3 linked regions of the Sus scrofa genome follow. The protein of the gene in region 2 interacts with the protein of the main gene of each other region in a pairwise test. Links are inferred from orthologs where the notes say so. Each region holds a gene or a part of one and is shown on either strand. Other genes may lie near its edges.

Region 1 (7,515 bases), on a different chromosome or scaffold from region 2:
CATTATTTAAAATACAAACAACAGAAAAAAGCAAAAAGAAATGAGAATCATCCAGGGGTAATCAATATGGGCCAATAAGTATATGTACACATAAGAATTAGTATCACACTACACTGTACTATAATTTAAAAATAATTGATAAAACGTTATGACAATTTTTCCATGCTTTAAATATCTTTCTGTCTAGAATGGATTTTTAATGGCATGGCTACCACAATTTATTTAACCAATCTCTATTTTTATTATTTATTTATTTTAGTATTTTTTTATTTTTTCTTTTTTAGGGCTGCACCCACTTAACATGGAAGTTCCCAGACTAGGGGTCAAATTGGAGCTGCAGCTGCCAGCCTACACCACAGCCACACAACGCCAGATCTGAGCCGAATCTGTGACCTATGCCACAGCTCACGGCAACGCCAGTGAGCAGAGCCGGGGATTAAACCCATGTCCTCATGGATACCAGTGGGGTTCGTTACCGCTGAGCCACCAACGGGAACTCCCCCAATCTCTTATTTTTAGATACATAAGTTGCTTCTAAGAGTTACTGTAAACTAGGCTGTAGGGAATGTTCTTGAAAAAAAATTTTTTTCTACATCCTCTCAATTTTCATTCCCCTTATTATTTTTTCCTTAATATTTCTGGACATGAAATTCATGGGTCAGGGGTGTGAATATTTGAAAGCTTCAATACTTATTTAATGATTCAGGTATTGAAAAAATCAAAAGGAGCCCAAACCTTTAGCAAAGGCAAAATGACGCGTCTTTATTTTATTTTGACCTTTTTATTACAGTGACAAATAGCATTTTACTTTATTTCTAGCCATCTTGCGTGTGCGTGCATGTGTGTGTTGTGGGGGCAGCTTTTGTCTCTGGCTCATTTTGGGTTTGGGGGGAGGTTTACCTTTTTGTTAGGATTTTGAAGGGTACATTGCACAGTCACTCAGCAGGAGTGTGAACCCTTTTCGAGGCAATCAGATGCTGCATGATGTTTTTTTCCTGTTTGCCATCAACACTTTCTCATACTGACGTTTTCTTTTATGGGATCTAACTTTGACTGTCCTTCAACTTGATAGTACACTTATTCATCTTCATGTTTCTTTCTATCACTTAAATATATATTCAATATTTTGATGTTTAATATGCATTGGAACTTTCACTGGTATATGAAGTGGATGATGGATTTACTTTAATTTCCTCGCAGATGAACCTGCCCATTCGATCTTCAGATTCCAAACTATGTCAACAGCAACATAACACTGGGGCACACTGGGTAAAAACCATTTGGAATCTCCAATCTGTTGTCCATAAAATACCTAAATCACCCTATGAGATTTTTGGGGGTAAATATGAAATGAGACAAGTTCTCAGAAGCTATTTGTGGCCTGAAAAGCACCAGCTGAGGGTGCGGTTTCTCCTTCCATGGGGTGGGGCGGGATTTGAACCTGTCGCAGATCAGGTCGCTCAGGAGGAAAGTACAGGTGGCAGCTGAAGGGCAGTTTTGTAATTTCCAGTGTGACTAACCTCATATCTTCAGTTCCTTTAAAAAAGTACTTGAGTTCCGTCCTTTGATATTTTTCCCTTAGTAGTTAAATCATTCCAGAGCAATTTATTGAATAATGAATTATTTTCTTATTTGTTTGAAATGTTACCTCTTTACGGACGTGTGATTGAGTTAGGCTTATTCCTACTGTCTTAAGTGTTGTGTTTTGTTTTGTTTTAATTTTGGCTGCACCTGTGGCACATGGAAGTTGCTGGGCCAGGGACTGAACCTGCACCACAGCCATAACCAGAGCCCTGACAGTGACAATGCCAGATCCTTAACCTGCTGAGCCACAAAGGAACTCTCTCTTATTGTCTCATTCTTAACTCTCTATGGCTTATTCTTACATGTCTACTCTGAAACCAAAACTATCTTGGTTTACGGCTCATAGCTGTGTAACATTTGCATACACCTGTCCACCGTTGTTCTCTCTCAGTACCTCCTTGCCAGGGCTTTCCTGCAGCACTGGGCAGGGAGGCCAGGTGTACCCCTTTGGGCTGCTTGATCTGGTCCACGGCAAACCCATATTAACTTCAAAGCCGTGCCATGTCAATTTTTTCATTATAAATCTACACAATTTAACTTTTCCATTATCCATCAGACAGCTGAGGAAAGGCTAACCTTGATTTCTGGATAACACAAAATTTTGACCTGTAAAATAAAGCTTTCAGCTCCTTGCAGACATGGTGGGTGCCACACTGGGTATCTGTTGGAAGAATATCTTCGCAAAACAAAAGGGTTCAATGCCCATGCTCATGGCAGCATTTCATCACGACTGTTAGAAGATGGACGCAACTCAAGTGCTCCCAGCAGGTGAATGGACAAACCAGAGTGCGTGTACCAGTGTCCGTGCGGTGCAAGACTATTAGCCACGTCAAGGCGGGAAAGTCTGATACCTGCTCTCGCTTGGGCGGCTCTGGAGGACCTTGTGCTCAGTGAAAGAAGCCAGTCACAAAAGGACAAACGGTGTGCGATGCAAGCCGTCCAATTCACAGAGACAGAGAGATGGCGGATGCAGGGGCTGGGGCGTTGTTGTTTGGTGGGGACAGAGTTTCAGTTTTGCAGGATGAAAAGAGATGAATGGCGTGATGGTTGCCCAACAGTGTGAATGTACCTGATGCTGCCATACTGCATGCTTAAAAATGGTTACAATGGCAAGTTTTATTTTAAGAAATTTTATCATAGTCATCAACCAAATTTTTAAAACCCCCAAAACAGAGCAGCTCTAGTTGATTTTGAAGATCGATATCAGTTCCAAATTCTGAGACCAAAAAAAAAAAACAAACCAATCAAACCCATGCATCTCTTGGAATGGTCCTAGGAAGCAAAGAGGTGAGAAACAGTGATGGCTCCTGATTTTCAAGTACTGAAAGGCCAGGAAGAGCTGGAAGGGAGCAAGCTGAGGGGGGCTTGGTGTTCTCAGAGCCCCCAGCACCGCCAACAGTGCAGGCTGGGCAGCCCTGGCCTGCAGCCTGGCTCCACCAGCCTCTCCCTCGCGTGGGCTGCTTGACAGTGAACAGTGGCATGAGGCGCATGTGGACAAATTCATCCTCGTGCGCTCCCCGATTTGGCAGGGGAGCCCAGGCCCCCCAGCAGGAGGGCAGAGGTCAGCTCCACAGTTCTAGAAGGCTTGGTGCCAAGCAGAGGCTCAGAAGCAAATCAGACACACACAAGAGCCTGATCGGCCTCCTCAACAGGATGGGGGAGCCATCGAGGGCCATGACTGATTGGCAGGCTCTTCTCAATGCCACACAGCGGCTCAGCTGTCCTGGGGGTGGTCTGCCAGCAAGGGTGCTAACTGACCCTCTATCTTAAAACAGGTGCTCTTCCAGCAAGCAGACAATCTGCTGACTACTTACTTTTCAGATGAATGTAACTCAGCATTAACTCAGCCTTCTCCGACACCCACCCCAGCACTCCGCGCTCTGCCCACCTTGGCGGCTCTGGGGAACACTTACAGCTGCCCAGCTGGCTCTGAAAGTCCATGGACATGTTGCTTAGAAAGTCGCTGTTGACAATGTCCCTCCACTGGATGGACTCCGCGTGACAGAGGGCAGGGTTGTTGCTGAAGCGCACGGCGCCTTGCAGGATCTCTGTGCGAGAAAGGACCCCATGAGAAAACGTGCCCCCCTTCTAAACACTCGTGAAATATGCCTGCATTTCTCCAGTTTGCCTTCGGCTACAAGGATGGCAGCTGGCATGGAGACTCCCCATGGAACTCCCGGCAGGGGGGGTGAGAGGGAAGCTGGAGGCTCCACTCCACGGAGGGGTCACGATGGCCTTGCACCGGGTCCTTGAACGACGCACGGCCAGAATTTAGGGATGTAGGGAGGAAGGAGGCCAGTGCTTGAGCCTCTTAGCATAAGTGATGAGTGCGCAGTGAGTTGGTGGTTCTCGGGGAGGCTGGCCCGGAATGACTATGTGATGCAGATGAGAAAGGGCAAATGGGAGGGGCGGGCAGGGACAGGGAGATGCTGGCAGGTGTTCTGTGGCATCTCATTGGAGAAAGGGGTGTGAGGTGGAGGGGGCAAGAAGTATCTGTGACCAGGAATTCCCACTGTGGCTCAGTGGTTAACGAATCTAAGAACCATGAGGTTGCAGCTTCGATCCCTGGCCTTGCTCAGTGGGTTAAGGACCCGGCGTTGCCGTGAGCTGTGGTGTAGGTTGCAGATGTGGCTCGGATCCCACTTTGCTGTGGCTGTGTTGTAGGCCAGCAGCTATAGCTCCGATTTGATCCCTAGCCTGGGAACCTCCATATGCTACGAGAGCGGCCCAAGAAATGGCAAAAAAAAAAAAAAAAAAAAGTATCTGTGACCTAGATAGATCAGGCACCAGGGCTGCAAAGGCGTAAAGGACAGTTAGCTGTTCAAAGGAGCTGATGGTGCGAAGAGTCAGGAGTGATAAGAAAAGTTGAGCCTGAGCAGAGGGCTTGTTCCAGCTGTGACATTTATGTAAACATCTGCCTAGTGACTCAGGCACACAGAGCACGGCGGGGAGGGCCATGGGGTCTGCAAAGATGGACGATTTCTGCTGGCTCCTGGGAGACGGGTCATCCAGTGACCTCACATCCGCGGAGGGCCTCCACCCCCAGCAGGAGGGCACCAGCGGTTTACAGGCGCTACCTGAGCTGATGCAATGACTGCGCCTCTCCTGCGGATGCCTGAGTTCTGCCCAGCATCGCACAGCGGAGGGGCCGTGGAAGGAGGGCTCTGCTGGGAAGAGTCTCCAGGGCACTGGGGAGGACACAGCTCCCAGAGGGCAGAGGAGCACGGGGGGACCGGGGGGAGGAGCACGGGGGGACCGGGGGGAGGAGCACGGGGAGACGGGGGAGGAGCACGGGGGGACCGGGGGGAGGAGCACGGGGGACCGGGGGGAGGAGCACGGGAGACTGGGGGAGGAGCACGGGGGACTGGGGGAGGAGCACGGGGGACTGGGGGAGGAGCACGGGGGACTGGGGAGGAGCACGGGGGACCGGGGGAGGAGCACGGGGGGACCGGGGGAGGAGCACGGGAGACTGGGGGAGGAGCACGGGGGACTGGGGGAGGAGCACGGGGGACTGGGGGGAGGAGCACGGGGGACTGGGGGAGGAGCACGGGGGACTGGGGAGGAGCACGGGGGGACTGGGGGAGGAGCACGGGGGGACTGGGGGAGGAGCACGGGGGGACTGGGGGAGGAGCACGGGGGACTGGGGAGGAGCACGGGGGGACTTGGGGGAGGAGCACGGGGGACTGGGGAGGAGCAGGGGGGACTAGGGGAGGAGCAAGGGGGGACTGGGGGGAGGAGCACGGGGGCTCCAGGTAGATGGAAGCCCCGGTGCAGAGGGGTGGCTCCTTCAGCAGATTCGGAGACACAGAGTCCCAAAGCGCAGGCTCGGGGGTCAGAGAGGGCCCCATGTGGAGCTTTGGACGTGAAGTCAGAGGCCACAGCAGGACAGTAAGTGGATACGCTCATGGGGGAGGGAGCCAGAGTCAAGGGGGTAAACTCTGATGAGAGGTCAGAGCTGGGGATGCAGAGGAGATGCCAGGGCTGCGGGACCATCAGGGTGACGGACCAAGGACAGGAAAGTGCAGGTAAGAAGGTCACGGGCAGCAGGGCCCCAGCACTGCCCCGTGACGGTGACAGTATGTAATTCGCCTTAAACAGCCCCCATCAGAGGATTAGTTAATGACACTGCGTCACCTGGACTGATGCAGCCCCAATACCAACAACAGAAATAACCCTAAGTCAAGAAGCAGCTCCCCGTGCTTTATCTGGAGTAATCCCCTTAACTGACTCGACACTCCTGCCAGTCCGTTACCATCCCACCTACACACCCGAAGACACAGAGAGCACGTGCTCTGGGCGCCTGGCTGGTGAGTGACGGGGCCAGGGCTGGATCCTACCCGCACAGGCTCCCGCCGTCTCTGCCTGTCACCACCAGACCGCGAGGCCACATGGGCGGCCGGCGAGCTGAGAGCCTGCACACACTGGCCAGCGCCTGGGCAGGTAAGGATGCTGGGGCACAAGCTGGGTGCCCACCCCTGGCTGTTTTTCACTCATGTGGGACGTGAGGAAGGTCCCTCTGCCACCATGTCTTTATTTGTCACTTGCATTAAAAGAAGACTCCAATTGAACACAGCTAGCACTGCACCTGCCACACAGCAGGGCATAATAAGGGCACAGCAAGGGTGGTCCTCAATGTCCCAAATCAGCTTCCTGTCCTGTCTTCATCCTCCGCAGCTTCCTCTCGGAGGGCCCGCACAAGTGCCCTGTCCTAAGAATTCTGACTTCTCTTGTCATACTCCCTACCCTGAACCTAAAATGCTCTCCGTATGAGGGCATTACCCTGGAAAATGTCTCACGTTGGCGGGGTGGGGTGGGTAATGCGTGCCCCTTATACCTGGGGTCCAGATAATAAAACTGGCAGATACATGGGCACAAAAGACCTCGCCATCTGACCTCACTGTCCTCTCCCCAGAACCGCTGTCACTTCTCCCAACTCCCTGGATGTTCTGGACGGAGGACAAGTGGTACTTGGCTTAGATCATCCTTCCCTCTCCGTCCTCTACGACCCGCTTAGGGACGTCCATCTGCTGCGTCTTGCTCAGGACCAGCACCCAATACCTCTGCATGTGAGGAATCAAAGTCTTCTCTGAGTGGAGTTAAGAAAGTCCCGGTTGGGGAGCCCATCTGAGCTGCCCTCCATGTCTGCAGCCTCTCACCTTGTAAGTTCCTCATGGGCAGCTCCCTCAGGCCGGTTTTATTGGCCCCGTAGTTGGATAAGACGGCTAAGGCATGGGTGTTTTCATACAGTACATTTCCTCGGATGATCTGCAGGTTTTCCAAAGGGATCTTCTCCACGGTGTTGAGGGCGATGAGCACGTAGCCGGCGACCTCCTGAATGGTCTAGGAGAGGAAACGTGAGCAGAGTCTCTCTTCTGAGGAATATTCAAGAATGCAAGATCCACACGGTAAGATGAGCCTGCGACACCTAACTGCGCTCTGCACAAGAGTGGTTGACAAATGCAAAGCGTGCAGATGACTACAGCCGGCTCCCACGGGAGGTGACAGGATTTGCAATGACCCTGCGCTCCTGCCTCTCGAGCCCAATGGCGCTAATAAAAAGCCATGTGCATTACTTAGGAATGCTGTGACGTTCATTCTGCTTGGTGTTCAACACACTCAGACAATAAAGGGTATGTTTTATTAATTTCTTTTGTATCTGTCTTGCAGGTTTTTCCATAAAAAAAAATAATAAACCCATGGAGCTCCCTGGCGGCTCAGCAGGTTAGGGATCCAGTGTTGTCACTGCTGTGGTGCAGGTTTGATCCCTGGCCTGGGAACTTCCACAGGCTGCAGGCATGGCCAAAAAATAAATGAACACACCAAGAAAAAAAAAAAGCAATCGAATCCAAAGTTCAACTATACCAAATTAAGACGCCTTCAGGGTTGGCTCCTACTGGCTCTCTAGGGTCCACTGTGAAATATTCAGGGGTT
Region 2 (8,083 bases):
AGGCCAGGAATCAAATCTGCATTCTCATGGATACTTGTCAGGTTCTTAATCCATTGAACCACAATTGGGAACTCCCTGTCTTGGTATCATTTTAAAGACATAATTTGACATAAAATCCATTGCATATCATTTGATTAAATTTAGATTAACTGTGCTTTGGATAACCAAAATTATTGAAGACTATGTAGGATTAATCTTATTTGCTCTTCATAACCATCCTTAAAAGTAGCCAACTTTAGGAGTGCCTGTGTGGCTCAGCAGGTTAAGAACCTATCTAGTATCCATGAGGATGGCGAGTTCAATTCCTGGCCTTGCTCAGTGCGTTAAGGATCCAGCATTGCCACAAGCTGCAACATAGGTCACAGATGCAGCTCTGATCTGTCATGGCTGTGGCATAGACTGGCAGTTGCAGCTCCAATTTGACCCTTAGCCTGGGAACTTCTAAATGTCACAGGAGCTGCCACGAAAAGAAAAAATAAAGTAGGTAACCTTCTCTAGACTTAAAACCTACATTTTTCAAATGTAAATTGTACTTGCATTAAACACAAAAGCAGGTAAGCTAGAAGCACCCTCATCTGGCACACCATTTACACTCAGAAGATTAGTCATTTGTGGAATATAGCCAAATAGGCAGTTAATTTTAAATACAAAAAAATTTTTTTTAGTATTCTTACTTTTCCCTCAAGTGTACAGCACTCATAGACCTAAAATCTACTTATAACAACCATTAATTTATAGTAAACACTCAAGAATTACTGAGTTTTAAACATCATAAGTGCTCTATGTCTCCCTCCTGACTCTGAATTATCACTTCTCATTGAACTACTAGAATAGAGCTCTAGTTAAATAGAACAAAAGGATTCTACTGATTAAGCACCAAAAATATTTGTATGATACAAGGTATATGCTCTGAACTGAATATTTAAAACTTAAAAAACATTTGCTATGGTCAAATTATAAAGCTGCTGGTGGTAAACAAAAAAAACCTTTAATCAACAAATCTTTAGAGTACCTACTAAATGCCAATTAAGGTTCCACATCATGGCTGTAACCATGCTATGATCTAAAAAGATGTTTTCTTAAAGACACGAAGGAATTCAAAGACTAATGTTACAACACTCAGACTTTTGTAATCCAGGAAAAACAAGAGTAATAAATGAAATCAGAAAAGCCTGGGTGTATTTAAGGAATGAATTAGATTGTCAAAAACCTCAATGTCAAGGGCCTATTCTAAATTAGAAGTGATTAAGGAGACATTAACCACGAAATGAAATGTGTGACCTTGACTAGAACCTCAGAATATATATGCACAAGTATTTAGAAGTAAAGTACCTAATTCCACTGCATGAACACTCTCCCAACCACACCTACAAGATATCAATAGGATTCAAAATACAAATATTGCTTTAAGCATTTGTCTTAGAAGAATGTAAGATTATTGGAGGGGGCTGTTGGGGACACATGCGAAAATAATTTCAATTCTCCTGAACTGGGAACATTTTTATGTTTCAATTATCATGTAAAGAACATATGTATTAATGTACTAATGTACTGTAAGGTACCTATAGAACATTCATTCTTTAATGAATGTTCACGTCTTCATGTCAAGGATGCTGCAGCATCATTAAATCATTAAAAAAAAAAAAACCTTGTATATTATTAAAACTACTCACCTTCTCCAATTTTCTCTATCTTGGTATAGTCTTCCATAGTTACTCAGTGGATGTGGTAGATCCTAAAATGAGAGGAAAAATGGACTTGATTACATGCCACAAACTCAAAGGGCAATTTTAAGTTATTAATGAGATACTAAAGGGAAGTATTTCCACAGTGCCTAGTGCAGTATTAATTTTCCATAAATCTTATATTAAAACAATATTTACATGGGAAAGAACTAAAAACTCTCCCACCTTAGCTCATGAAAACACTGGAAATAATTGTATATCCTATACTAGTGTAACATTTAGTGCCTTCCAAACCCTCAAATTTAGACAGATGTTCTCTTCATGTAACACTTTTAAAGGGCACCAGGAGTTCCCCCAGTGGCACAGCAGAATGAATCCAACTAGGAACCATGAGGTTGCGGGTTCGATCCCGGGCTTCTCTCAGTGGGTTAAGGATCTGGCTTTGCTGAGAGCTGTAGGTCGCAGAAGCGGATGGCATCTGGCGTTGCTGTGGCGCAGGTCGGCAGCTGCAGCTCTGATTGGACCCCTTGCCTGGGAACTTCCTGGCTGCGGGTGTGGCCCTCAAAAGACAAAAAAAAAAAAAAAAAAAAAAGGAGCACCAACAATATGTGTCAGAGTTGTACCCAAATACTTTAACAAAGAATGTTATTTGACTGAATTTGTATAGATTTATGATATTTTTATGAAGATAATTTTTAAACAATTTTTAAAGGCATGAGCAGGGAGTTAAAATGTGACACTGCTCGCTCATTATGGGTTTTTTGGGGGGTTTTTTAATGCAAGAAATAGATTTATTAAGATAGGATGCTTGTGAAAGATACAAGCAGGCAGACAACGCGGCTCTTTTTTTTTTTTCATTAGTGTTTAAAATAGCAAAAGTGTTTCAGCTCGCTCAAGTGACAGTTTTAATCATTCTCCTGTTCTCAGCAGTCACACAGGATAAAAATTTGGAGGGTAAGGCAGGAAATATCACTAAGCACTCTAAAAGAAAAGGTACAATTCCACAGGGGGGAAAAAAAATCTATACCCCACACAACAGACAAGAACAATAAAGGCTTAAAAAAAAAAAAAGCTGAAATGATAATCAGATACAAGACTTCCTGTTAAGTCTTGGCTGGTTAGTTTGCCTGTCAACCATTTACTTCAGAAGCTCAAAATCTAATTTTATAATACAATCACTGATAAGCTTATATACAAAGGTCACTCTGAGTAATTTGACCCGTAGATTCTATTTCTCACATTCATCTTCAAAATCATTCCAGAAATAAGCAGAAATAGATCTTTCTAAATGAATTAAAATTGCACTACACTTGCCATCCTAGAAAGGTTTAATTTTACAAATGGCAGTGGACGATGAAGATAATTATCTTTTCCTCAATATCCAGATTTAATATGCCTAAAGCACAATAAAATTGTTAAGCTCAGGTTAAACAAATAACTAAAAACTAACTCCATCTCAACGCTGGGTTCAATTACTCTCCCTCCATTCTCCGGTTGTAACTATTTGAAATAAAGATAGCAGCTTCGGAATTTGAGTATAGCCGGCCTTGAAATACCAAGACTTCATCTACAGAGACCTCCAGGTCTTTAGAGGAAGCAAGACGTACAAGTTATTAGGTAAAAATTGACTATAGGATTTAAAAACACACGTTTCTAGCTGTAGGCTTTTCTTAGATATCTACTCTTTACCAACTCCATGGTATATAACAACCACCAAGCATAAAAACAAATTAAAACAAATCCAAGTTCTCTCGGGCTGTATGCCTTGGCTAAGTCTTCCTTAAAGCTCTAGGTGGGCTAGGGTCACAGGCACAGACGCAAGCCTGAGAAGACCCACAAGTTAGTTCATCCAATCGGTTTCCAGGGGCGTCCTGGGATCAGGAAGAGGTTCGGGTACCTGGCCCAGGTGCGGCCTTGCTTTCCACGCCCAGAGGCGAGGGCAAGGCGCACCAGGGACGGGGGGAACTGCAGGACCGAAGGCCGAGCCTGGCACTCGGCAAGCACTTGGCAACGTCGAATGCGCGGATTCGGCTTCAACCATGACCTCAAAGCCTCCTCAGCCGCCCGCGACCCCAGGCTAAATTCCGAGGCCAGAGCAACCCCAGCCCGGCCGGAGTAATCCTGCCAGGGCTGGGCTCCCCCAAGCCTCGCTCTCATGACGGACCTCGGCGTCACTCACACGCCCAGGCCCCAGATAAAGGTCCCGGCTGGCCACACGCAGACCCTTGCTGCCCAGGGCCCAGCCTCCTAATTCTCACCCGGTTCCTTAACACTCCCCCTCCGAGGCCCGCGAACCTCCCCTGCCAACTGAACGCCCCATAAGCATGACCCTGACCCCAGCGACTCTACCCAGCTTATTATCCTGCGACGAAAGCGGCGGCAGGGCTACCACGTCAGCGTCGCTCTCCTTAAGCTCCCAGAGCCAGCTTTGAAAAGCTAAGTGCGAGCAGTTTCAAACTCACCGCGCTAAAGGGTCCTGGATCCACCAATCAGGTAGCCCGTAGACTTTCAAAGGATCCAATCAGAGCCCAGCTGCTCTTGGGCTGGACCTCCTGGGTGGCTAGAGCGCGAAAGAAGGAGGAAACGGCGGCTGGAGAAAAAGCAGGAGGGCGGGCGCCAACTGAGTGTGAGCGCAAGCGCTGTCTTCCATTCCAAGAAAGCGTCGTCCTACTGTTTCAAGTCATCAGAAATCTACTGTTCGCCAGGGGTTGGCTTTTTTCCCCTCACAATACTGGCACATTTAAAATTTATTGTACTCAAATACCTCATCAGAAAAGTGATAACACACTTAATCTAGATCCCATTACTTTCACTTAAAATTCTTAAAGCTAGCTCACATTTGTGTTTTTCTAAATTAATAACTCTCAGGCTGGGCCAAAGGACATTTCAGTTACCTCAAGGAAATAATAGAAAACTCAAAGATGTCCTGATCAATGTAAAGAAAAACTTTATATCACACACACACACACATATACACATTGGACTTTACTATTTTTACATTACACACATGTTGACTATGTTATGTTTTTAACCTCACTTTTTAAATTTAAATTATTTTGTCTATTTAAAATGTTATTTAAAAACTAAAAACAGGGAGTTTCCGTTGTGGCACAGGGGTAATAAATCCGACTAGTACCCAGGAAGATCCCTGGCCTCACTCAGTGCATGGAGAATCCAGCGTCGCCCTGGCTGTGGTGTTGGATCCACGTTTAAAACATTTTTAAAATATTCTTACATGAGAATTATAAATTTATATTATAAATTATAAATAAAAAAAGAGTTCACATTTCTATGAGGGAAGAAAGAGATCTAAATCATACTTTAAATAATCCAGTGTCCCAAAACTCTTTCATTGCCTTCCACCATATCCTAAAGAGGGAGTTCTGCACCTGAACACCATTCTTAAGTCCTTAGGGAGATAAAAGAGCAAAATAGAATAAGGGATAAGAGTCTTTGCACTGACCCTAATGGAATGTAGGACAAAAAAATCATTACCATGACCTCTACAGTTATATGTTAGATGACTCAAGTTAGGCTAAGGAAAGGAGCTAGTATACCACAGGCATTTATGTTTTTAATACCTTATTATGCAAGGAGCAGCATCTGTCATCCGGCCCTATATATGGCACAAACCCTCAGCCTTGGAAACTTTGTGCTCCTGGGTATCAGAGGCAGAGCATTTGGGATTCATGGTGGAGATAGGGGGTTGGGAAATCTTGGCCTGAACCTAATAACCTTTAAAACCTATTTCTAAAATTTCAAATTCACATTTTAAATGAAAACTGCCCCTGGAGAAAAGCTCTAGAGAAGAAGACTGCTTTCTGGTAGTTTAGTGTACTAATTTTACCGAATAAATATATATATCTTTCTCTTGGGAGGCCTAAGCAAGAGATTCAATTTGCCTCATCTAAAAACAGCTAGTAAATCATTACAAACATTTTACATTCAGCATAAAAAAGACCACAAGCTTCCACAACTCTGACGCTAGATTTGTATTTAAATTTAACTTGGCTATCTTTCCTTTTGTGTGTGCATGGCTGGTGTTTTGGAGGTTTTGTTTGTTTTTTATTATCTTTCTTTCTAAAGTTTCAGGGGTCATTGTAAATTCAGGCCATCACCTTAGCAAGTACAGTTTATTATCCAGGGTCAGCTTCTCTTCAGTGTCTCTCTCTCTCTCTCTCTCTCTCTCTCCTCTCTCTCTCTCTCTCACACACACACACACACACACACACACACACACCAGATACATTTTCTGCTCTAAGTGTTGGGGGGTGGGAGAATTACTTAAAATTACTTAAAATAAAAAATTACTTAAAATAAAAAATTACTTAAAATTCGCTTCTGGCACTGATGTTATAACTTATGCTATAAGGTGATATGAAAACATAAAGGAGGAAATAACTAATTCAAACAGAGGATGTGACATTTGAAGGGACACTGGAGAAGCCTGTGACATCTGAAGGAACACTGGAGAAAGAATTGTGGGATGGGCCTTCCAAGCAGAGGAAATAGCCTGAGTAAAGCACTGAAGTTTGCTCATGTAATTCAAGGTGCTTCCATCAGAGGGTGTAGGGCTCTTTAGGTATTAAGCAGGGAAAGGAATTTGGAGTCAGAAGCTTTTTTTTTTTTTTTTTTCTTTTGAAGGCCGTACTTGCAGCATATGGAAGTTCCCAGGCTAGGGGTCTAATAGGAGCTGCAGCTGCTGGCCTAGGCCACAGCAGTGACAAAGCTGGATTCCTAACCTGCTGAGCCACCAGAAAACTCCAGTTTTGTTTTTGTTTTGCTTTTGTCTATTTAGGGCCGAATCCAGGGCACATGGAGGTTCCCAGGCTAGGGGTCCAATCGGAGCTACGGCTGCTGGTCACAGCCACAGCCACACCCACAGCAACTCAGGGTCCAGGTCTCATCTGCAACCTACACCACAGCTCATGGCAACTCGGGATCTTTAACCCACTGAACAAGGCCAGGGATTGAACCCATGTCTTCATGGATACTAGTCAGGTTCATTAACCACTGAGCCATAACGGGAACTCCCTTTTTTTTTTTTTTTTTTTTCTTTTTAGGGTCCCATCTGCAGCATATGGAAGTTCCCAGGCTAGGGGTTGAATCGGAAGTGTAGCTGCTGACCTATGCCACAGCCAGAGCAACTATGGATCTGAGGTGTGTCTGCAACCTATACCACACCTCGCAGCAATGCTGGATCCTTAAACCACTGAGCAAGGCCAGGGATCGAACCTGTGTCCTCATGGATGCTAGTCAGATTCGTTTCAGCTGAGCCACAATAGGAACTCCATTTGTTGCATTTTTGATGGTAGGCATTCTGACAGGTGTGAGGTGGTTTTGATTTGCATTTCCCTGATGATTAATGATGTTGAGCATCTTTTCATGTGCCTGTTGGAAAGAAGTCTATTCAGATCCTCTGCCCATTTTTCAATGTCATTTTCTGTTTTTTGTGATTTTTAAATCTAGTTTCTTTCACATATGAGCTGTTTGTACAACTACTCTAAGTTTATGTCTCACAACACAAGAATTATAGGAGATTCTAATTTGCATAATGCTAAATATCACAGATCCCTAAAATTGTCTGCTGCATTTATAATTGTTCATGCTGTGTTCATGAGTGTGTTCCTGATACAAGCTCAGTTTGGATGAGGTAGTAATAGGAAGCAGTATGGAAAGTGCTCTCTTTCACCGACTTCCACCATATCCTTAAAAGAGATTTCTGCACTTGAACATCATTCTTTTTTTATATATATATATATTTTTTTTTTGGTCTTTTTTAGGGCTGTACCCCCGGCACATGACACTTCCCAGGACAGAGGTCAAATTGGAGCTACAGCTGCCGGCCTAGACCGCAGCCACAGCAACACGGGTTCTGAGCTGTGTCTGTGACTTACACCATAGCTCACCACAATGCCGTATTGTTAACCCAGTAAGCAAGGCCAGGGATTGGACCTGCATCCTTGTAGATACTAGTCGGGTTTGTATCTCTTGCCCTGTATCTTCATTCCCAGATGCCAGGAGAGTGACCAGAATGGGTGGAAGGCATTGTCCTGGAAGTTTTTCCTGGATTAGGACTGCTGGCGGTAACTTGGAAGTGCTGTGGATAAAGAATCCTAAATTCAATGTATCCTCAATTCAACATCTCCTGACCTGAATCTCAACAGTGTTCGTGGTCCTGGCAACATCACTGGACAGGGGGGGAAGTGTGACTGACTGGGAGTTGAAGTGGAAAGAAACAGAAGCTTTAACAAACTGTTTAAAATATCTTATTTTATACTTTTTTTTTTTTTTTTTTTTTTGGTCTTTTTAAGGCCGCACCTGCTACACATGGAAGTTCATAGCTAGGGGTCAAATTGGAGTTGCAGCTGCCAGCCTACACCACAGCCATAGCAACA
Region 3 (8,260 bases), on a different chromosome or scaffold from region 2:
CAACCTCTGATGGCAATCATTTCATTACTCTTTGAGCATCTCTCAAAATACTCATCTGTCTATGAACATACGTTAACACTTTTCCTTCTGATGGTTTAGATAAATCTTGCACACAGCTTTGACCACACACATTTCTGTTAACAGCCACGGGTCACACAGCAAAAATTAACTGACGATTACAGGTGTGGCAGGCTGAAGTTCAACCCCCACTCTTCCTCTCCAGGGAGAATCTTAGGGTTTAAAGAGAAACCAGGTTACTATGATTCCATTTAACCAGAAAGCTCAGTCAGAGGCCTTGTCAGTTTCTGTGGGCCCTTCCACAATGAAGGGACCAAGCTAAGCAGAGGAGAATGTCTTAGCATAATAAGGCCAGGACTCTTTTGCAAGAAGCAGACTTAAAACCATGTTACTAGAAGAAACATACATTTCTCTCATAGACTATATAACAGTGCTGGGCAAACATTTTCTGTAAAGGACCAGCAATTAATATTTCAGGTTTTGCAGGCCATGCAGTCCCTGCTGCAACCACTCAACTTTACTACTGGGGTGCAAAAGCAGCCCCAGACAATACTTAAATGAGTATGTCTGTGTTCTAATAAAACCTTATTTACAAAAAGAGGCCTGTGGAATTTGGTCCACGGGCCACAGTTTGCCGAACACTGGACCAGACAAAAAGGAAAATCCTACATCACAGAGGTGAGATGCGTTCGTCTATGGCTACTTAGAAATCCTGGCCTGGCCCTGCCAGGGGAGAGAACAAAGAGAAGGTGAAATACTCCCAGTTTACTCCAGCCCTCCCTGTTCTACCCATTTCCTAACCTGAGACTGGAAGCTCATCCTCCCTTCTCTGCAGAATCAGCAGGAGCTAGAACCGATTGACACTGTGTCCCCATCCAGCTGAGGCCAGAGGGGGCAGAATTTGCACCACCCTCGAAGGACCTGGGATTTCATTCATTCCAGAGTGGGAGGTATGCGTAGAGAAAATGGAAGGGACGCCTGATGCTGAAGATTAAAGATGTCTGTGGAGACAACACTGGGAGAAGTGGAAAGGAGATGAGAGTTAGGGAATGAGGGATGATCAAACATCCTGAAGCCCATCCAGAAAGTATTTACCTGGAGCCCAGGTCACAGTCTTTCCTTGGACTCTCTCAATGTTTCAGGAAAGAGGCTTGTGGAGTTCCTGTTGTGGCTCAGCGGTAATGAACCTGACGGGTATCTATGAGGACACACATTTGATCTCTGGGTTCGCTCAGTGGGTTAAGGATCCAGCATTGCTGTGAGCTGTGGTCTAGGTCAGAGATGTAGCTTGGATCTGGTTTTGCTATGGCTGTGGCTATGGTGTAGGCCAGAAGCAGTAGCTCTGATTTGACCCCCGGTTGGGGTACTTCCATATGCTGTGGGTATGGCCCTAAAAAGACCAAAAAAAAAAGTCTTGTAAGCCACTCACAAGGTCCTGCTTCATTTGTTACCTCTCTCGGCCTCACTTAATCAGCTTCTCCTATACTGGCCTCCTTGCTGTTCCTTGTGCACACATTCCTAACACATTACCATCCCAGGGCCTCTGCACCTCCTTACTCTTAGAATGAAAACCCTTCCTCTAAATATTCAAATGGTTGACACTCTCTCCTTCACCTGGGTACTTCTCAAATGGCATCTCAAATATGTCTTCCTTGACTTTTGGAGCTAGAATAGCATCCTCATCAGGCTCTGCTTGTTTTAATTTTTCACTTTCCAACTGTCTCTCCCAATAGCATGTGAGCCCCAAAAAGGCAGGGACTTTGTTTAGTTCACTCCAGTATTCCCAATACTTTGAATAGGACACATGTGATGTTCAATAAAATACTTAATAAATGAATGAACCAAGTCCAGTATGTCCATTATGGCTAATTTTATGTATCAAGTTGGCTGGGCTATGATGCCCAGATATTTGCTCAAAATGCATTCTGCATGTTTCTGGAAGGGTGTTTTTGGATGAGATTAGCATTTAAATTGGTGGTGAGGAAAGCAAACTCCACTTTATAATGTAGATAGTCCTCATTCAATCAGTTGAAGGCCTGAACAGAAAAGGCAAGCAGGCATTTTGCAGCAGGTGGCCTTGGGACTATACCTGCAACATCAGCTCATCCTGGTTCTACAGAAGATTGCCTTTAAACTACAACTACGATTTTTTCCTGAGTCTCCAGCCCCTCTAGTCTCCCTTATCAGCTTTTGACTTGCTGAGCCTCCACAGTTGTAAGAGTCAATTCCTTAAACTGAATCTCTTTATGTACATATCTTATTGGTTTTTTTCTCTGGAGAACCCTTATACAATCTCTAAGGCAAACTGTGATATCTTCTTTACTAAAGAATTCTTTCCAATAGCTCTCTACCCCCTCGTTTCTACAACATGAGTCAGGGAGTGAAATTTCTACATATTTTTGTCAGACCTGCAGGTAATATCGCTCCAGGTGACCTTCTTCACTGTGGCCAGCAAAATGGGGACTGGAGAATGGGGGAGTGAATAATAAAATACATTTTTTTATGGCTACACCCCAAGTCATATGGAAATTCCTGGCCAGAGATTGAATTTGAGTGGTAGCTGTGACCTATCCACAGTTGTGGAAACGCTGGATCCTTTAACCCACTGCACCTGGCCGGGGTGAACCTGAGCCACTGCAATGGGATTCTTAACCCACTGCAGCAACTCCTCAAACCCTATTTTTTTTTTTTTTTTTTCCTTTTGGCTTTTTAAGGCCGCACCTCCGGACTACACCACAGCAACGCTGGATCCGACGAGCCTCGTCTGGGACCTACACCACAGCTCACTGTAACACCCAATTTTAACCCACTGAGCGAGGCCAGGGATCAAACCCACAACCTCATGGTTACTAGTCATATTGGTTTCAGCTGAGCCACTACTGGAACTCTATTTTTTTTTTTTTTTTTTTAAGTTTATAGCCACTCTTACTTAGAAACACTGGCACTGAGAGCCATCTAGAAATTATTATTTCCCCTTTATAACATACTGTTTCATTCATATTTAGTGAGTAGGAAGGTTGAATCTACATCCTAACTTGTCTATGTCCTGGAATGGTAAGGAACATAAAATATCAAACATACAAGTCTTGATTTTTAACGGTTCTCATAGCATTTGAATGACTAGATGTGACCATAATTACAAAGTCCACGGAATGTGGTGTATATTCACAAGACGCTTCAGCCCAACGCTCCCTACCATGCCCATAAAAATAATAATAATAATAATTTAGGAAAACAAACAAAATTCCCTACCCTGGTACCACTTTGGAATCCTGCCATGAGAAAGCACCGCTTTCCGGAATCCCCACAGTGCTGGGGCCGTCTTTAAAAGATATCGCTCCGCCCTCACCTCCCCGCCCCCTCCACGCTCCCAACCGGCGGGAAGAGGTCGCCCTCCCAACCAATGAACATTCGGCAGGGCCCTCCTCTCGCGCGTCTTTCAAAGGCCCCCTAGGAACCAATGAGCGATTAGAGGCCGAGCCAGGGGAATCCCCGGCCGGAGTAAGAAACAGGGAGAGGGTCTGATTGGTTCCTCGCTCCACCTCACAGAAGTATGTACCAATAAGCTGAGCCGAGGGGCAGGCTCGGCGAGGGGCGGAGGCTGAGACGCTGGTGCCGCCCGAAGAAGGCTGCGGCGGGTCACGACTTGGGGCGGCCAGCGATGAAGCCGGTGAGTGGGGTTGGGGATTGGAAGAATTGAGCTAATGGGATGGGAACAGTCCCGAGGCCAGTTCCTGGTCCCGGGGACACCTGGGCCTGGTCGCGGCACGACTCGCGTAGTAACCGTCCAGGGTAGGGGGTATGGCCCTTCCCGAGACTTGCGGAGAACGATGGCAGCGAAAGAACAGGGTCGGTGGCGGGCGAGGGGAAGACGAACATTCGCTGTGCACCTGTTATGGGCTGTGGGCTGTCGCCTGCGGGGTCTCCTAAGTCTCCTGACAGCCCTGCCAGAGAGCGCTGAGCCCCGCTTTACGGAAAAAAACGGCATAGAAGCCTTAAGTGTCTCCGTGTATCATTCAGCCTGATATCCCAGCCTCAAAGCATGTGCTGGGCACCCCTGCGGAGCAGTCCTCCCCGCGGACGATGATTCACAACCCCCACTTGTAGGTGTGTCATCACAGTCACCATCCCACGGGGCACGGGGCCACCTGGCACTACGTCCTTTTGCCTAGAGTTCAGAATCTCTGGGCCTGGGGAAGCAGAAACTTCCAACTGTTAAGATTTATAAACCTGGATAGGAAAGCCTGAATTAATGGGCCACACAAATTGAAAATCTGGAATCATCAAAGAAAGAAAAAATAGGCTTAAGGAGCGGAAGGGTACCCATCTGACTCACATCACCTCCCACCAGGGTTGACAACCCCTTGAAGAGCCTCCATTTGAACTAAGTTTATTAATAATAATAATAATAACACAGGTGGATCCAAAGCAACTCAAATCCGTGGCCTAAACTGGCTCTGTAATGTGATCTTGTAGTAACGAACAAGACCATTATAGAATGTGGCTTCAGAGCTAGAAAAGACATTGGGCAGTTCCACTTGCTAATCCCCGTGTTTCCATGTGGAGGGAACATCAGCTGTCCTTCACTTCTAGCCTCTTTCTACACTTGTCCCCAGAAGGGGAAGAGTGAGTGATCCGATGCCTAAGTTTGAGAGGAGCTGAACATAAGAAGGGAACCCTTTCTTCCCTTCTCTTTGCAGAGAGTACTTTCTGGGGTGCTCTTAGCACAGGAGAGCCCTGGGTTGTCCATCACCACCTGTGACTGGTGAGAGAAGTCCAATGCTAGAGTGAAGAAATGACAAGCCGCCTTGAGCTCAGCTTTAAAACCACATCCTCCCTCTGACAATCAGTAATAAAACTGATGTATTGATCTCCATTTGCCTTTCCAGCATCTCATCTCTCCCTTGGTTCCAGCTAGGGAGTAGAAGAAAGGTGTGTTTTTTTGTTTGTTTTTTTTATTACTCCTATAAAACAACACATCTTCCATGTAGAAATGCTTCCCACAGGATTGAGTTTCATCTCCTTCGGTCAGCAAACAAAGTGCATCTCACTCTCTCTAGCCCAGTGATTCACAGAGTTAGGGCTAGGTTATTCCACCTAAACTCCCCACCCTGCCCCCCACCAAACTACTAGGCTGTATGGGGATTAATTTTTGAGAAATGGGGTAGAGAAAACTACTACTTTGGCTTCCTCTCCCTTACTCTGATACCACAGTTCCTGAATATAGTTGGACCTCAGTATCTGGTTGCATGTCATTGTATATACAGGACTTGAGCGTCTGCAGATTTTGGAACCCATGGTGGGGTGACGCTGGAGCCAACCAATCCTACACACACACCATGGACACTAAGGAACTATAGTGTACACAGACCCTTTCTCTTTTTGCCTTAATTGCCTTAACAACTTCTCTATCTGCCTAAAAACTTCCTGCTTATCCATCAAAACCCAACTCATGGATGTCTCCTCTATTAAGCTTTCTTCAGCTTCCTAAGCAGTCAGCCACAGCCTTCTCTGCTCTAAAGGGCATAGTTTATGCTTGCATTTCAGCACTTCTAACTTTCTTGAATCTATGTACACATTGTCTCTCCAACTGTACTTACTTTATGGGTCTTCGCATCTCCAGAGCTTGGCTAATGAAAATGTCCCAGAAATGTTTGTCAATGAATGAATAAATCTCCTCACTTTTTAGTTTGGGAAAACTGAGGTCCAGTGGAAACTAAAGCTGCTTATCTAAGTATATACAGTAAGTGGCAGAGCCAAGACCAGAAGACAGGTTTCTTGGTTCTCAATCCAGCAGTCTTTCTACTACATAGGGCTGTAATGATTAATAAATGGTATAAACAGCAATAGTTTATTATTGATATTGCAGATCTCTCTAATATTCCAGGTTGAATAAATTGCCAGTATGTATCAGTGTGCACTTAAGCTATGATCAGCTATACTAAAACTGTATGTAAATATTCTTTACAGTTATTTAACATAATTGATTTCTTTTGAAGCCTAGCGTGATACAAACAAGTGAGTTTGACTCATCAGATGAAGAGCCTATTGAAGATGAACAAACTCCAATTCAGATATCATGGTATGTGGACATTTCTGATCCCTGATGAGCTAAAATATCTGATGTGTACATCACAGTCTTTGTAGGATTTAGTCTATATATTGAAAATTATTCCCTTCTGCTGATTATATAATTCTAATCTTTCTTACCTATGATAGAAAAAGACTTTTTTTTGGGGGGGTGGAGGGGAGTGGTAGGAGCTCCTTCCTTATATTGAGAAAATCATAGTAGAAACAAGGAGTTAAGATTAGAATGATCTCCCATTTAGTACCAAAACTTTATTCTTTTAAGACAAAAGAATAGTGTATCAAACATAGGATGAGTTATCATTTATCATTTACTCAAATCCTACAACTACTTGCCATAATAATTCATCTATCAGTAGACCCTATTTAAGATGAAAGCCACATTATCATGGATACAATAACCAAAACCAAATGTTTTCATATAAAATCAACTGCTAAGTCTTGGCAGTGATTTAGGTTATACAAGATTCTTGCCTACCAGCAGTCAGATGCTTTTTCTTATCCCTGAAAGTGTAATAATCCTCCTTAAGGTAATGTCCCTGATATAGGAAGAGAAAAAGTCTTGTCCCTGAAGTTCTTTTGTTCTGCCATCAAATAGCAATTATCTTTCATTTCCCCTTCTAAATCCCCTTTAAACTCAAAATCTCATCTGATTTTCAGTCAGGTGGTATTTATATGATGCTCCCCCACCTCACCCCAACTGTTTTCCTCTAAATTCATCTTCTTTTTCAAAGACAAGGTGAGTCTCTGCCTTCATTGTCACCAAGCACTGCAAACTGGGAATAGGACTTCTTGAAATTATTTCATTTTAACCAAAACCCATTACAACAAAGAATTGGTGGCCTGTGGTTTTTATTCTATGAAATTATATCTGTTTAAGGAAATCCTGCAAAGAAATCTTAAAGTAGTAATGTAGAAAGATGAGTGCTGGGAATGAGATTGTCAGATGATCATTTTCTTTTTTTTCTTTCTTTCTTTTTTTTTGTCTTTTTAGTGCTGCACCTGCAGCATATGGAAGTTCCCAGGCTAGGGATCAAACTGGAACTTCAGCTGCAAGCCTACACCACAGCCACATCAATGCCAGATCCGAGCTGCTCTGCGACCTACATCTCAGCTCATGGCAACGCTGGATCCTTAACCCACTTATCGAGGCCAGGGATCAAACCCACATCCTCATGGATACTAGTTGAGTTCATTACCACCGGGCCTGGAGGAAAACTCTCTCAGATGGTTATTTTCCAGTTTATGCCTAAGGTTACTGATACAGAGTATCTCAGGTAACATACCACAAGGGTAACTTAAGTACCCTTTATCCTAGCTGTTGACAATCTAGCCATTACTATCCTTAAGGTAAGTTTAAATTAGCATGTTGCTTTCAAGACTTTAATTGTAACAAAGCAAATGACGTCTCTATTTTAAAACTTCCAGTCTTTCTAAGCCTTTTTGTAACCAATACACTGATATGTAAATATGAATTTTTGTTTTGTGACTATTGTAAATCTCTGAAACACACCTTTGTTCAGTGGTTTGTATAAATGTCCATCTGTAATTTTTTTTTTTAATTGAACCAAATTTGACAAAGTTTTATTCTTTTCAGGCTACCCCTGTCACGAGTGAATTGTTCTCAGTTTCTTGGTTTATGTGCTCTTCCAGGTAGGTCACATCATTGATAGGTTAAAAAAAATTTTTTGTCAGCTAACACATCATTCTCTGTATTGAGCAGTAAGAGAATTTCATAGTTTCTCAGCATGGGAATTCACTTCTGGAAACCCTCTTGGTGGGCCATAGATAAAGGAACATAGATCTACTCTTCAACCCTTCCAAACCCACATTCACAGATATACATTTCTGATTTATCTATCTTAGTAAAACATAACACTAGTATTCAGTGTGAGGCTGAGGACTATAGCCAGGTACTTGCTACAGAAGGGGCACAGAATAAAGAATCCTTGGATTAAGAGTTCCTTCTGCTTGGATCTATCAATCCTGGAATTATATTCCTAAGAATATAAGAAATTGAAATTCACATTCAAAAATGGAATTGAAGCATATAAATGATCATGTGTAATGACTTTCTACAGTAGCTACACATGCATTTAAACATTCTCATTATTTGTAACGAAAAACTGACTCTTTTACTCACTTTGTTAACACT

The links.
Region 1: the proteins of CDK1 (region 2) and EGFR interact in binary tests that used the Homo sapiens proteins (3 or more experiments, as listed by UniProt). The link is inferred for Sus scrofa from reciprocal best matches to the Homo sapiens genes CDK1 and EGFR.
Region 3: the proteins of CDK1 (region 2) and CDKN3 interact in a two-hybrid assay, tested with the Homo sapiens proteins (2 studies listed by BioGRID and IntAct). The link is inferred for Sus scrofa from reciprocal best matches to the Homo sapiens genes CDK1 and CDKN3.

Annotation. Positions count from the first base shown.
Region 1 is NC_010451.4:139,418,274-139,425,788, reverse strand, and holds part of EGFR (epidermal growth factor receptor precursor), read right to left. Parts: intron 6,925-7,515; coding exon 6,741-6,924; intron 3,633-6,740; coding exon 3,498-3,632; intron 1-3,497. UniProt on the Homo sapiens protein: Receptor tyrosine kinase binding ligands of the EGF family and activating several signaling cascades to convert extracellular cues into appropriate cellular responses.
Region 2 is NC_010456.5:64,230,033-64,238,115, reverse strand, and holds the start of CDK1 (cyclin-dependent kinase 1), read right to left. Parts: upstream 4,128-8,083; 5' UTR 4,035-4,127; exon of another isoform or gene 4,021-4,034; intron 3,886-4,020; exon of another isoform or gene 3,841-3,885; intron 1,736-3,840; 5' UTR 1,711-1,735; coding exon 1,674-1,710; intron 1-1,673. UniProt on the Homo sapiens protein: Plays a key role in the control of the eukaryotic cell cycle by modulating the centrosome cycle as well as mitotic onset; promotes G2-M transition via association with multiple interphase cyclins.
Region 3 is NC_010443.5:183,789,074-183,797,333, forward strand, and holds the start of CDKN3 (cyclin-dependent kinase inhibitor 3), read left to right. Parts: upstream 1-3,543; 5' UTR 3,544-3,679; coding exon 3,680-3,688; intron 3,689-4,718; coding exon 4,719-4,783; intron 4,784-4,907; coding exon 4,908-4,950; intron 4,951-6,017; coding exon 6,018-6,100; intron 6,101-7,702; coding exon 7,703-7,758; intron 7,759-8,260. UniProt on the Homo sapiens protein: May play a role in cell cycle regulation. Dual specificity CC phosphatase active toward substrates containing either phosphotyrosine or phosphoserine residues. Dephosphorylates CDK2 at 'Thr-160' in a cyclin-dependent manner.